Xenopus tropicalis: one gene and its partners. The protein of the gene in region 2 binds, or shares a complex with, the protein of the main gene of each other region. Links are inferred from orthologs where the notes say so. Each region holds a gene or a part of one and is shown on either strand. Other genes may lie near its edges. The genes, in order: ppp1r8, ttf2 and akap17a.

Evidence for each region.
Region 1: ttf2 (region 2) and ppp1r8 share a complex: the UniProt entries of both Homo sapiens proteins name them as parts of the spliceosome. The link is inferred for Xenopus tropicalis from reciprocal best matches to the Homo sapiens genes TTF2 and PPP1R8.
Region 3: ttf2 (region 2) and akap17a share a complex: the UniProt entries of both Homo sapiens proteins name them as parts of the spliceosome. The link is inferred for Xenopus tropicalis from reciprocal best matches to the Homo sapiens genes TTF2 and AKAP17A.

Annotation. Positions count from the first base shown.
Region 1 is NC_030678.2:79,501,894-79,504,880, reverse strand, and holds part of ppp1r8 (nuclear inhibitor of protein phosphatase 1), read left to right. Parts: intron 1-1,610; coding exon 1,611-1,958; 3' UTR 1,959-2,124; exon of another isoform or gene 2,125-2,987. UniProt on the Homo sapiens protein: Inhibitor subunit of the major nuclear protein phosphatase-1 (PP-1). It has RNA-binding activity but does not cleave RNA and may target PP-1 to RNA-associated substrates. May also be involved in pre-mRNA splicing.
Region 2 is NC_030678.2:616,560-620,972, forward strand, and holds the start of ttf2 (transcription termination factor 2), read left to right. Parts: upstream 1-1,475; coding exon 1,476-1,508; intron 1,509-4,413. UniProt on the Homo sapiens protein: DsDNA-dependent ATPase which acts as a transcription termination factor by coupling ATP hydrolysis with removal of RNA polymerase II from the DNA template. May contribute to mitotic transcription repression. May also be involved in pre-mRNA splicing.
Region 3 is NC_030678.2:38,922,354-38,926,552, forward strand, and holds the start of akap17a (A-kinase anchor protein 17A), read left to right. Parts: upstream 1-1,345; 5' UTR 1,346-1,463; intron 1,464-3,234; 5' UTR 3,235-3,247; coding exon 3,248-4,009; intron 4,010-4,199. UniProt on the Homo sapiens protein: Splice factor regulating alternative splice site selection for certain mRNA precursors. Mediates regulation of pre-mRNA splicing in a PKA-dependent manner.

The DNA of each region.
Region 1 (2,987 bases), about 79 Mb from region 2:
TTGCTGTAAACTGTAACTGGCATTATAAAATATCTAAAGAGTAGAAGAAAATGTAAATAATAAGTGAATCGAGGAAAACTGATAAATGTAAGAATATGCAGTAACTGTTCCGGAAACATGGTATGTGAAGTAATAAAAGTAGTGCAGAAGGAAAAGTTTTAAAAATATTTAGAACCGAGCAAGGGCAGTTTCTCAGATTTTATTCCTGAACAGTAGAACCTACATGTGGGTGAGAGGGAGGATGTCCTTATTTTTTTGATACATAAATGTGGGCCCCTCCAACATGCAACCACAAGGGTTTAGCTGTGACTGCAGCACCAGAATGCAGCTCTGCAACTGGCTGACCGCTACTGGGTAAAAAGTGACAAGGGGGGAGGGTGAGGATTTCCCCTTTAGCAGATGTTTTGTGACATAAGGCAGCAGACTTAGCAAAAACAAAACTTACACTTGAAAGAAACCAATTAAACTTGAATTCAAATATACATGACAATTTAGATTATTTACTTTTCACAGAAAACTGCTGTCTACACTCTACTAAAGTACTTTTTAAGATGACCTCTCTATTTAAGACGCTTTTGTTAATACTAGTTTCAGTGTAGAAGTGCAGTTATTACTTAAAGGCTTCCATGTACTGTATGAGAGACCATGTTTATAAGCACTTACACAAGTAGGGTTTATCTTGATGAAAGTGTCTTATTTAATAGCATTGATGTAATACATGCATTTGTATTTAGGCCTGTGTTCACATGAGCGCATTATTGGGCCCTTTTGCTCACGCTTCTGCCTGTTGGCGCATGACAAACATACAGCAGTTCCACACTAACTATGCAAGGGTGTCTAAGTACAGTATAACACTAATTTTACATTTTTCCAGAGTTAATTTAGGGAAAGCTTAAAATGCAGTACATGGCGGCACACTGACCATAAGCAATGAGATATAGGCAAAGTAGTAACTATTTTATCTGTTTTGGTGTAATGTAATAAACAGTCTAAGTTTGCTACTTGTCTAGTAACCCGTACCATTAACTGGTCAACAAAATGGAGTCCATACCTGAAATTTGCACTTAAATTTATTAAAGAAATCCTAGGCTAATTGTGTGGATTAAATTGTACTGTCTTAGAAACCCGTGAGGAGAGAAATAATATCTAAGTAACCAAGCATCTGCATGATGATGTACTGTGGTTTAAGTATGTTTTGATTACGTGTGTAATACACTTTGTCATGTTACTAACAAACTTTGAGAAAAAAAACCCAGAGCTATGACACTGTCAAGAAAGAATAGTTATCTGAAAGACAACTTTTCATTTTGCACATGGAATTGTTGGGCCATTTCCATAAACATTCTGAGAATCTGTAAAATTCATCCCTTGTACTGCATACTGATGTATTATCTGCATCAAGGAAAGATCAAATATTGATCAGATTCAGACACTTAATTGTTAATATAATTAAGTGTCTGAATCACAGATTTGTATATTTTTCCATTATCTGCTACTTGTCAGCCATGTGAATACATTAGGTATAGAATGTTTATTTACATTTAACTACTAAGGGAATGTCTTGTTATATTGTTCTGAAAACCATAATTCCCTTTCCTTTTTCACAACAGAAAAAGAAAACCGAAATTCCTGGTTCCCTCAGTCTAGAAGATTCAGTGGGACGGCGTGTCCAGAACTTCCCGTTTACTGGAGGCCTCTATGGTGGGCTTCCTCCTACGCATGCTGAAGGTGGCGCACAGACAGCTGGAGGCCATGGCACAGCCCTGATGGGCGGCATGCCCTTCCCTAATCTTGCGCCAGAGGTGGATCTTGCACCTACCACTGCTACTGTAGCTCCCATAACTGTTGCCCCTGCTCCATCCAGCTTTACTGCTGAAGCTGTTAATGAACCCAAGAAAAAGAAGTATGCCAAGGAGGCCTGGCCAGGGAAGAAACCCACTCCATCATTGCTCATCTAAGATGACTGCTATAACACATGTAGGGAGATACTGGGACAATAAGCCAACACTTTGTTTTTCAGGTGTCTGCCAGAAAGAAGGAAACTGGCACATTTTTTAGCCAGGTTATCATTGTCATGTATGGTCCTTTTTGCTTTAGTTGTATGAAAAGAAATCAGTCAACATAGGGATGTCTTAAAATCCACTCTTGATAATGAACCAACCTCAATTTTTACTGAACATAAATGTTTCACTGGTAAGAAAAACTCCTCCAGAAAAATGACGAGTTCATGCACGCTAAATCAATATATCAGTCACATAGAGGCAGCAGTGATGGGAAAAATATATTACTGACAAAGGGGAATAGAATCAATGTGTTTTATGTTGGCCACCTATATACAGTGTATAGAAATCTGCATGCAACTGTACAGCTTTAGAGATATTTTTATATGTAATATGTGAATTCTATACATTTATGTAAACTTTTCCTCTTGCTTTGTTTTATTTGACTGTGTGTGTGTGTAAATGGGTGAAAGCTAACTCACATTAATTTTCTTTTTATTTGCCCATGCTACTATGCAGTGGCCGCCAGTCAGGGTTACATTTACCAGCAAGAAGATAGTGTATCTCATAAATTCAGTACCTAATCCTCCACCTATTCCATATTCGAATGCAGAGGAGAATGTTTATTTAAAACCAGAATACTCATCAAGCAGACAGTAGAATTCACCAGTAGCTAAAAATAAGAGGATGTTGCTCTATAATCAGGTAGCAGAAGTAGTAAAGTTTTTGTATTTAACATCAGTCTAATGTTAATGGTGTAATTCCTTCTTAACACTACTTTGATTGGTTCTCCCCATGTAGAAAAGAAGGTGCATTGCTGTATAGTGGTGTAACTACTGAGGGAGCAGCGATTGCAAGTGCACCCCCTCCCAATAGGTTTCTTGCATGCACTATATGGAGATCTGTGGTTCCCTCATTATGTGCCTGGTGCTGTATCTAGGATGAAAAAACCTTCAGAAAGAGAACTGTGCTTTTCAGTTTGCTAGT
Region 2 (4,413 bases):
CAAAGTCCCCATACACGCGTGTAACTACATATTCCCCATAGAAACCAGCAGGTAGCGCACCTATTCACCATGTGACCTGTTTAAACACTGCCTCTTACTTTGCTGGTTTCTACAAGAGGTTACATTTCCTTTGTGGGCAAAGTTTGTGCTTTTTTTTTAATTTCACAGGGGCTATACCTGTTATTGGGGCTTGCACACAAAGGTGGTTCATACATACCTTGCCTCTAGTCAGCTAAATACACGGCAGGGTAAACTGTCTAGACATCTGGCAGCAACCACGTAGCTATTAGCGGGAAAGATCAATCTTTATTAGAAGGGATTTCAGTACATCATGCTTTTCTCTCTTTATATTTTTTAATTTTTTAGTCTCTCTCTCCTTTCTGTACCCTGTTCCATAGATCCGGAGTTGAGCTGCTATGCGTTGCACTGAACCAACTCAGACTGGTACATGCGGTGCACGCATGCACCAGGTACAGCGGATCTTTACGGGCATTTAAGACCCGTGTTTCAAGCACACCTAATGCAGCAGCTAATACTTTTTGCAAGTACCTGTTCCCACAACTACTGTTTTTTTGCCGGAAAATTGCGTCACTTAATAACCAACACCATATCAATCCAATACTACGTGCTGTGCTGTTGTACACATATAGAGATATACCACCCATCATTATAATGTGCCCGAATGGTGCTCATACAAACCGTTATCTATACATAATACACCCTTGTTTACAATACTGCTCAAGTTCCTTGCTTGCTGGTACGTCACACATCTCGTCCCGTCACTATTTGTCGTTTCAAGAACCCATTAACATGAAAAAATCATGAATAACTAAAAAATCCAGAATCTCTATATTTTACATCTATCTAAAGACCCCTTGCGTAGCTTGCCTACTTAAGGTCACATGTCTTAAGTAAAGAATCGCGCTACAGATATCATTCCACATGTTATACCTGCCCGTTCCACTCTATATTGCACTTCTTAACATAGGTCATAGCTTATTTTGTGATTGAGAACAAGTACAAGCATGTTTGGAAGTAAATCCCGAGATTACGCTTTTAGTATTTCTTGTCCTTTTCATTTTTCTATTATCTTTTCCCAGATCCACCAATGCAAGCTACCAATACTGCCCCTTGGACCACGGTTACAGACTTATATTACTCACCTGAGCGAATGGCAAAGAGATGCTTTTGTTCTGAGCCTAATTGAGCCTACTTCTTACCGTTCAACAGAAGGCAGCAAGTTCAGCTATTTCGTCGCACATCTTGCACCAGATAATCTTAGTATGCGACCCATCTTCGCTGTAGAGTACACTTTTACCTCGCACGGCATCACGCAAGATCTCCACTTGCACCTCTGCCAAGATAACTATTACCGAAGTATAGCTGAGAAGTAACTCAGCCATTATATGACTCTGACAAGTTGGGAAATTGGGGCCTGAATAACTATTGCAGACAGCATTTTTAACTTTGGCAAAATGTCACGCAAGAATATGGACAGTGACAGTTGCGTAAGTCACTCTATTCTTGACAACTAATAATGTTTTAAAAATTAAGGGAGTGTGCAAGACATGGCAGTGGCAGGAAGAAGAACCCGTTGTCTAAGAGCTCAGGCGAGATGTCCTCAGTGAGAGTTGGTAAATGGGATACCATACTAAGCACACCTGTCAGGTACACTTATTTTCTGACCAGGTCTTGGTAATAATGTCCTTAGACAATACTAAAGCCCAGGGGTCACTATGCTCGCTCAGTTATTACCTCATAGCTGCTTTATCAGATGTCAAATGCAGGGGGAAGCGCAAACTTTCTCAACAAATACCTCAAGAGCACTTTCAGGCATTCTATTGCTATGTCACTATTACCCAATGCACCATATACCTCTTCTGTGCAACTACCGTTGAACACTCTTCCAAATCTTACCACCCATTGAATCAATCAAACAGCTCATTCTATATGACGTCTGTTCTACTGATATATGCAACAAAGCATGAGACAAAGATCAGCACTCATTCTCTCACTGTGCACATGTTTTTACCTCTACCACCTCTGGGCATCGTCAGCTATTACGCAAAAGAAAGCTTATTCTGCCTTAGGCAATGAGAGCCTCTGATATAAGCTACGCCAAACCGCCTTAGTTTTCAGAAGGCAGCTACCATATACTAAGAGCCTCACATGTCGAGAGAAGCTGGCTTTGGTCAATATTAAACGCAAAAGAGCAGTTGTGGGTTGATCAGCAGAAGAAATACAGTAATCCCCATAAACTTCAAAACGCTAATTCCATAGGCCTCATCGGCTTATGGATGGTGCAAAAAGTTCATTGGGCAGCTGCTCGTTCTCGTGGTTTCATGGAAAATTTGTTCCTCCACGCTTCACTAGGAGGAGGATGTGCAGGATACACTGCCAGGACAGGATATGGCCAGCAGAGACATATCAGTGAAGATGAAATGACCTTCTGATGAATCGTTTAACAAAACATGAGCCAAAGATGATTCGACATGATATGAGTGAGATAATGGATCTACGGGCTCCGCTGAACTGGGATGACAATTGCTGGCCTCCCCAATACTTGAGTTTAGCTCACAATCGACACTCTGTCATCTCAGTGTAACAATAGTGGCTGTGGCCACATGCTCACGCAATAGCCTAGACACTATTTCCTTAGCCTGTTCGCAAGGACGGGACCCCCTAAACGCGCAAACTATGCCCAGCCCGTCACTATTTACCCCAATCCTGCCCCTGCCCGTCATATTACATACCATTTTTGGTCCACCAGGGACAGGCCAACTCTTGATTAGGTAAGTGTATTAGACCTGCCAAGTCCGGGTGCCTGCCGGTCACTATTACCCACAAATTATCTGCTTTTTAGCATACCTGCCCAATGTGCACTACATCTAACTTTGGAACCTCTCAACAATACTGGGCCTTGGAGAAGCGCTCTGAAAAAATGGTGTCCCTAGAGTCATAGCTCCTACCTTTACACCGGTGAGTAACGTACGCTTTGTACACGCCAGCCGTGATATTCATTTGATGAAATAGGTTCCTCTTTTATCCCAGAGTGGTGCAGCGGGAGCTGTGTACGTCATTATCACAGGAGGATCCAAAACTGAGTTTTTAGTTCAGCTTGATGGTGCTACACATCTTCAGATGATCGAAACTAGTTGTTGGTGCTACTAACCGTCCCCAAGACCATTGAATGAGCGCAGGCTCGCAGCAAGGTCTCGCTTCACTGTCAAGGGTCACTATCTATGATTCTCTTCTGAAGCATTGCAAGGAAGCAAATCGTTGTCAGCCTAATGGCAAAAAGAGCACTGGCGTCTCGCAGAAGAGGTAGAGGCATAGTTTTGCAGGCTGATGGTTTCTCAGGTTGCAGATATGACTCAGCTTTGCCGGAGCTGACCTTGGTTCCTATATCGAAGTTACAGCTTATGGATATTTCCACAATAACACCTGACAGTTCGCCCTATTGCCTATATTGATTTCCAAAGTGCTTTTCTGGTACAGTGGGCCTAGTGGTTTCACACAAAAGATTTGGAATTATATGAGAAACTGGAACAAACATTTGGTTGTGGCGGTAGTTAATATGTGCTGTGGACAAGAAAGCTGCTGTTCTCCTAGAATTGTTTTGTGATAAAATAAAGATTTAAGATTAGCTGACTTCAAAAGGCATGTCTAGTGTTGTTTTATCCAGCTATTGAATTTATCATACCAGGTTACAGGTTGTCTACATGTCTCGAGATAGTGTCCTTTTACTTAATAAATAAGTTCTGCAGTTGTGCCTTTGCATATCGTGCCTATCTGTTACATCCCGCTTTCCTAGGTGGTTAGGTGGTTTGCCCATGCAGTGTCCAATGTGCCGATAAACACCTGCAAGCTCATAAACAACAGAAGTGCACATTTAAATTGGGCTTAAGTTGTCTTTAATGCCAAAAAGCAAATTAGATTTTTTGAAAACAAAGCTTGGAGCAGCTTTTCTGAGGTATAACATATTTGTAAAAAGATAACTTTTTTTTGTATACTCATAAGCATTGTTTACCTTGTAACATTCTGTGAGCTTCATTCAGAATTGACTTTGAAATCGTTGTTATTATGTGCATTGAGGTTCAAAATTTAAAGAGTGTTAGATGCCAAAATAAATGTTATATTGTGCAGCCCTGGGGCCCCATGCCATAGTTTCAGTTTATAATAACAAAATTTTACCACATTTTCTTGCAACTATGTTTAACTCATACTTTCTCGTCGCACTGTACTATTGCTTCTACAGCCACTGTCAATAATTACCGCATGGGTGCAGCAGATAAATGACTAGCGAAAACCCCCTTGCTGCTTCAGAACACCTGCCTGCGATATATTTATCCTGCTGCTGAACTTAAATTCTTTATGTGGCTGGCAGGTCTAGCACACAATTATGGTTCACGC
Region 3 (4,199 bases), about 38 Mb from region 2:
TCTGATTAGTTTGACCCATGCATCTACATCCAACTTGTACCATTCTACAAAATCTCCCATGTAGTTTAGCCCTAAGGCAAACCAACATCTATGCAAGTTGAACCCGAGTGCCACCCCTTCTCTCTTCTTCTAAAATCACACATTCCCTGCTGCCTCTGTCCCTACACACTCATTGGATAAATGGAAAAACCCTTATTTTGTAGGCAATTATGAATAATATATGGTGCTGGTTTCACTTTGGGCTAAAATTAAATACAGTCTGTAAAAATGGCCCCTTTATTGGAGCTCCCTATAGATCCTATCAGTTCTCTGTCCGAGTTTGAAATGAAGAGTGGGCGTGTCCTAACGGTCCCTGCCAGAAGCACAGTAGGAGGGGGATAGCCAATCACAGCCCTGCACTCACACAAGCAAAGACAGGCTTCAGTTCCCTATCAGGTCAGCCTAGCTGCTGATTGGTCCCTTTACTACAGTATCTGTACTGAGAGCCTGTGGCTCCCCTGCACATCCAGAGAATTCACCCAGCAGGAAGTGGGACAGATGGCCCATACTAGTGGGGTTTAGGTGGAATTTCTCAATAAATCAGTTCAAGCACAACTTTTTAAGCACAACCTTTCTATATTTAGAGGAGTATAATTCACTGGCACATTTTTTTTTTATGGCAGAGGCTCCTGCCTTTCTGTTTCAGCCAAGGATAAAACAAAAGAGCCTAAAACCTTGTTAACTTTTCGTTGTATTCTGCTAAATTAGCCCTTTTGTCCCTAATCTGTGAAACATCTGCCTCATTTGCACAAAAAGCTCAGAAAAATAGATTACTTCATTTCACTTTGCCTTAATTTGAACATGAATTACTATTTTTTGGGAGCAGAGGCACCAGTGGTAGTGGGTATTGCTGGCAAGCAGCAAAGAAATGGGTCTCATTTTGTTTGGGAACTCCCTGCCAATGTTCTTTTGGGTTCCAGAACTTTCTTAGGGAAGGAACCTGCACAATTCCAAGTTTATAAAAGTATAAAGGAAGAGTAAAATACAACTTCCGTTTTACCCTTGTTCTGACCATGTAGTGTGAAAAATATGCTCCCCCACCCTGAGGAGGAGGTTTTTTTGTTCCTGGCACAGGTGTAATTTCTAAAATGTGTAAGGAGGAGAGAAAGTGAAGAAAGCAATGAATGGCCAAATATTGGGAGCTGAAGCCCACTCTAATTCAGGAAATGCGGGCAGTGGGACCTGCTGCAGCCCCCACAGACATGATTGCGTGACACCTTGCACGACAGAGCCTCACGGCGGAAGGATTTAGCGTCACTGCGCTGCTCTGCGTGGCTCCGTGACATCATAGTCTCGCGAGATGAGCGGCGGAACGTTGGAGTTGGCTGTACGGCAGGATCTAGAGAGTAGGGCGCTAATGGCGTTTCGGGACGTTTAAGCAGCCGTCTGGGACTCCGGGTTGTGTTACGGAAAGCGGGAGAGCGGTATGCACCTGCCCTGTACTACCTCTCCTTGGGATTCATGCGCGTAGGGAAAACAACAATACGGGATGTCACACGCAAAGCCTTCCGCTTGCTGGTTTGTTTGAGGGGAACTGAACCTCAACAATGAATTAGACTAGGAATGCTACAGTTCATTTTGTTTTGTGTACCTGCTAGAAAGACTTTATGCCTCTGAAAATGCTCCCCATATTTTGCTGCTGGTCAGATACCCGAGTTTAGTGACAATGCACAATACAGTGCAGGTATTATATCCAAATTCACAGTATATGGCAGCACATTCAGGTATTATATCCAAATTCACAGTATATGGCAGCACATTCAGGTGTTATATCCAAATTCGCAGTATATGGCAGCACATTCAGGTATTATATCCAAGATCACAGTATATGGCAGCACATTCAGGTATTATATCCAAATTCACAGTATATGGCAGCACATTCAGCTATTATATCCAAATTCACAGTATATGGCAGCACATTCAGGTATTATATCCCATATCACAGTATATGGCAGCACATTCAGGTATTATATCCAAATTCACAGTATATGGCAGCACATTCAGGTATTATATCCCATTCACAGTATATGGCAGCACATTCAGGTATTATATCCAAATTCACAGTATATGGCAGCACATTCAGGTATTACCGTATATCCAAATTCACAGTATATGGCAGCACATTCAGGTATTATATCCAAGATCACAGTATATGGCAGCACATTCAGGTATTATATCCAAATTCACAGTATATGGCAACACATTCAGGTATTATATCCAAATTCACAGTATATGGCAGCACATTCAGGTATTATATCCCAGATCACAGTATATGGCAGCGCAGAAATCAGTGCAGCAGAATTGGCGTTAGCCCTGTAGCATCAGCCTCTGTAACAGATGTGAACTTATTTTCTGTAATGTTTTTATGAATTGAGTTGAACCCTAAGCTTAGCTTCTCTGCAGTACCCCAGAGCACACTGAGCATGTGCAATGTCACTGACACTCAAAAGATGGCCTAACTAGATTTCATGATATGGAGCTGCTTTGAACACTGAAGGCCTGAAACATTACTGTTACAGCTGTGAGAAAGTTCTTGGCCCATACAGCAAATTCTTAATACAGAGTACAGCATTTCTAGACAGATTCTTATTTAGGGTTCAGTTCTCTTTCAAAATCTAATGAGATGGCTGTGCAGCTACGCTGCATCTTGTCTGGGAAATTGACTTGCTAAAAATATGATGCCATGTTTGCCATTGCTCAAATATCCTGTAGACCATGTTATAATTATTCAGTGTTGCATTTTGCCTTCTGATATGTAAAACTACCAACCTAGCAATTGAGTTTGGTAGGGTAACCGTTTAATTACTCATTTCTCTGGTACCTTTTCTAAAAATCAATCACAGTGACAGTATGAACCCTTTGCTGAGATGCAGAGAGAGCAATAATCATAAGTGTGAATGTACATAATTACCTTCATCTGTGAATGTAAGTGGGGCATAGTTGAGTCAAGGGTGTCACAGTCAGTCTCACTTGCTGGTATGGATGCAGCCATTTGTAGCAGCTGTATGCAGTACACACAGTATTTGAGGTCTGTTTTATTTACAAATGGGATGCTTGTTAATATATTAGGAATATGTGCTGTGTAATTTGGTACATATAAATTATTTCACTTGCTTGTCTTTTGATTTTAAAGGCAACATTTTAATAAAAGAAGTTGCAGATATTACCTAACATTTCTACTTTATATATTAACAGCCCCTTCAAGATTATGGCTGCAGCTACGATAGTGCATGATACATCGGAAGCTGTAGAGCTGTGTGGCTCTTGTGGGCTTTACTTGAAGCCTATCACAAAGATGATTATCAGCGTGGCACTACCGCAGCTGAAGCAACCTGGAAAGTCCATATCTAACTGGGAAGTAATGGAACGTCTGAAAGGCATGGTGAACAACCATCAATTTTCCACCTTACGCATTTCAAAAAGCACCATGGACTTCATCAGATTTGAAGGGGAAGTAGAGAACAAAAGTTTAGTAAAGACTTTTCTAGCAGCTCTTGATGGGAAGAGTATAAAGCTAAGTGGGTTCTCTGATATATTGAAAGTCAGAGCGGTTGAGTACAAATTAGACTTTCCCACCAGACATGACTGGGATTCTTTTTTCCGTGACGCAAAAGATATGAATGAGAGCCTTCCAGGAGAAAGACCTGATACAATTCATTTGGAAGGCCTGCCTTGCAAATGGTTTGCGTTGAAGGATTCTGGCTCAGAAAAGCCAAATGAAGATGTTCTTATTAAGGTTTTCAATTTGTTTGGGGAAATTCGGATGGTGGACATACCTATGCTGGATCCCTACAGAGAGGAAATGACAGGCAGGAGTTTCCATACTTTTAGCTTTGGTGGCCACTTGAACTTTGAAGCCTACGTACAATACAAGGAATATGTAGGATTTGTAAAAGCCATGAACGCACTGCGTGGTATGAAACTTATGTACAAAGGCGAAGATGGGAAAGCTGTGGCCTGCAATATTAAGGTGTGCTTTTGTGCAGCGTTATTTCATGCAAATCCATTCTGTGGTCTTCTAGAACAGGCTTGGAATTATTGAGCAACTTGAGCTTTGCTCTGCAAATTATTAAACATTACTAAAGCCTTTCTGGCAATGTATTCTTAGTATTGCTAAAAGGCTGAAACCATTTATAGATCTATGTGTACGGTTAAGTAAT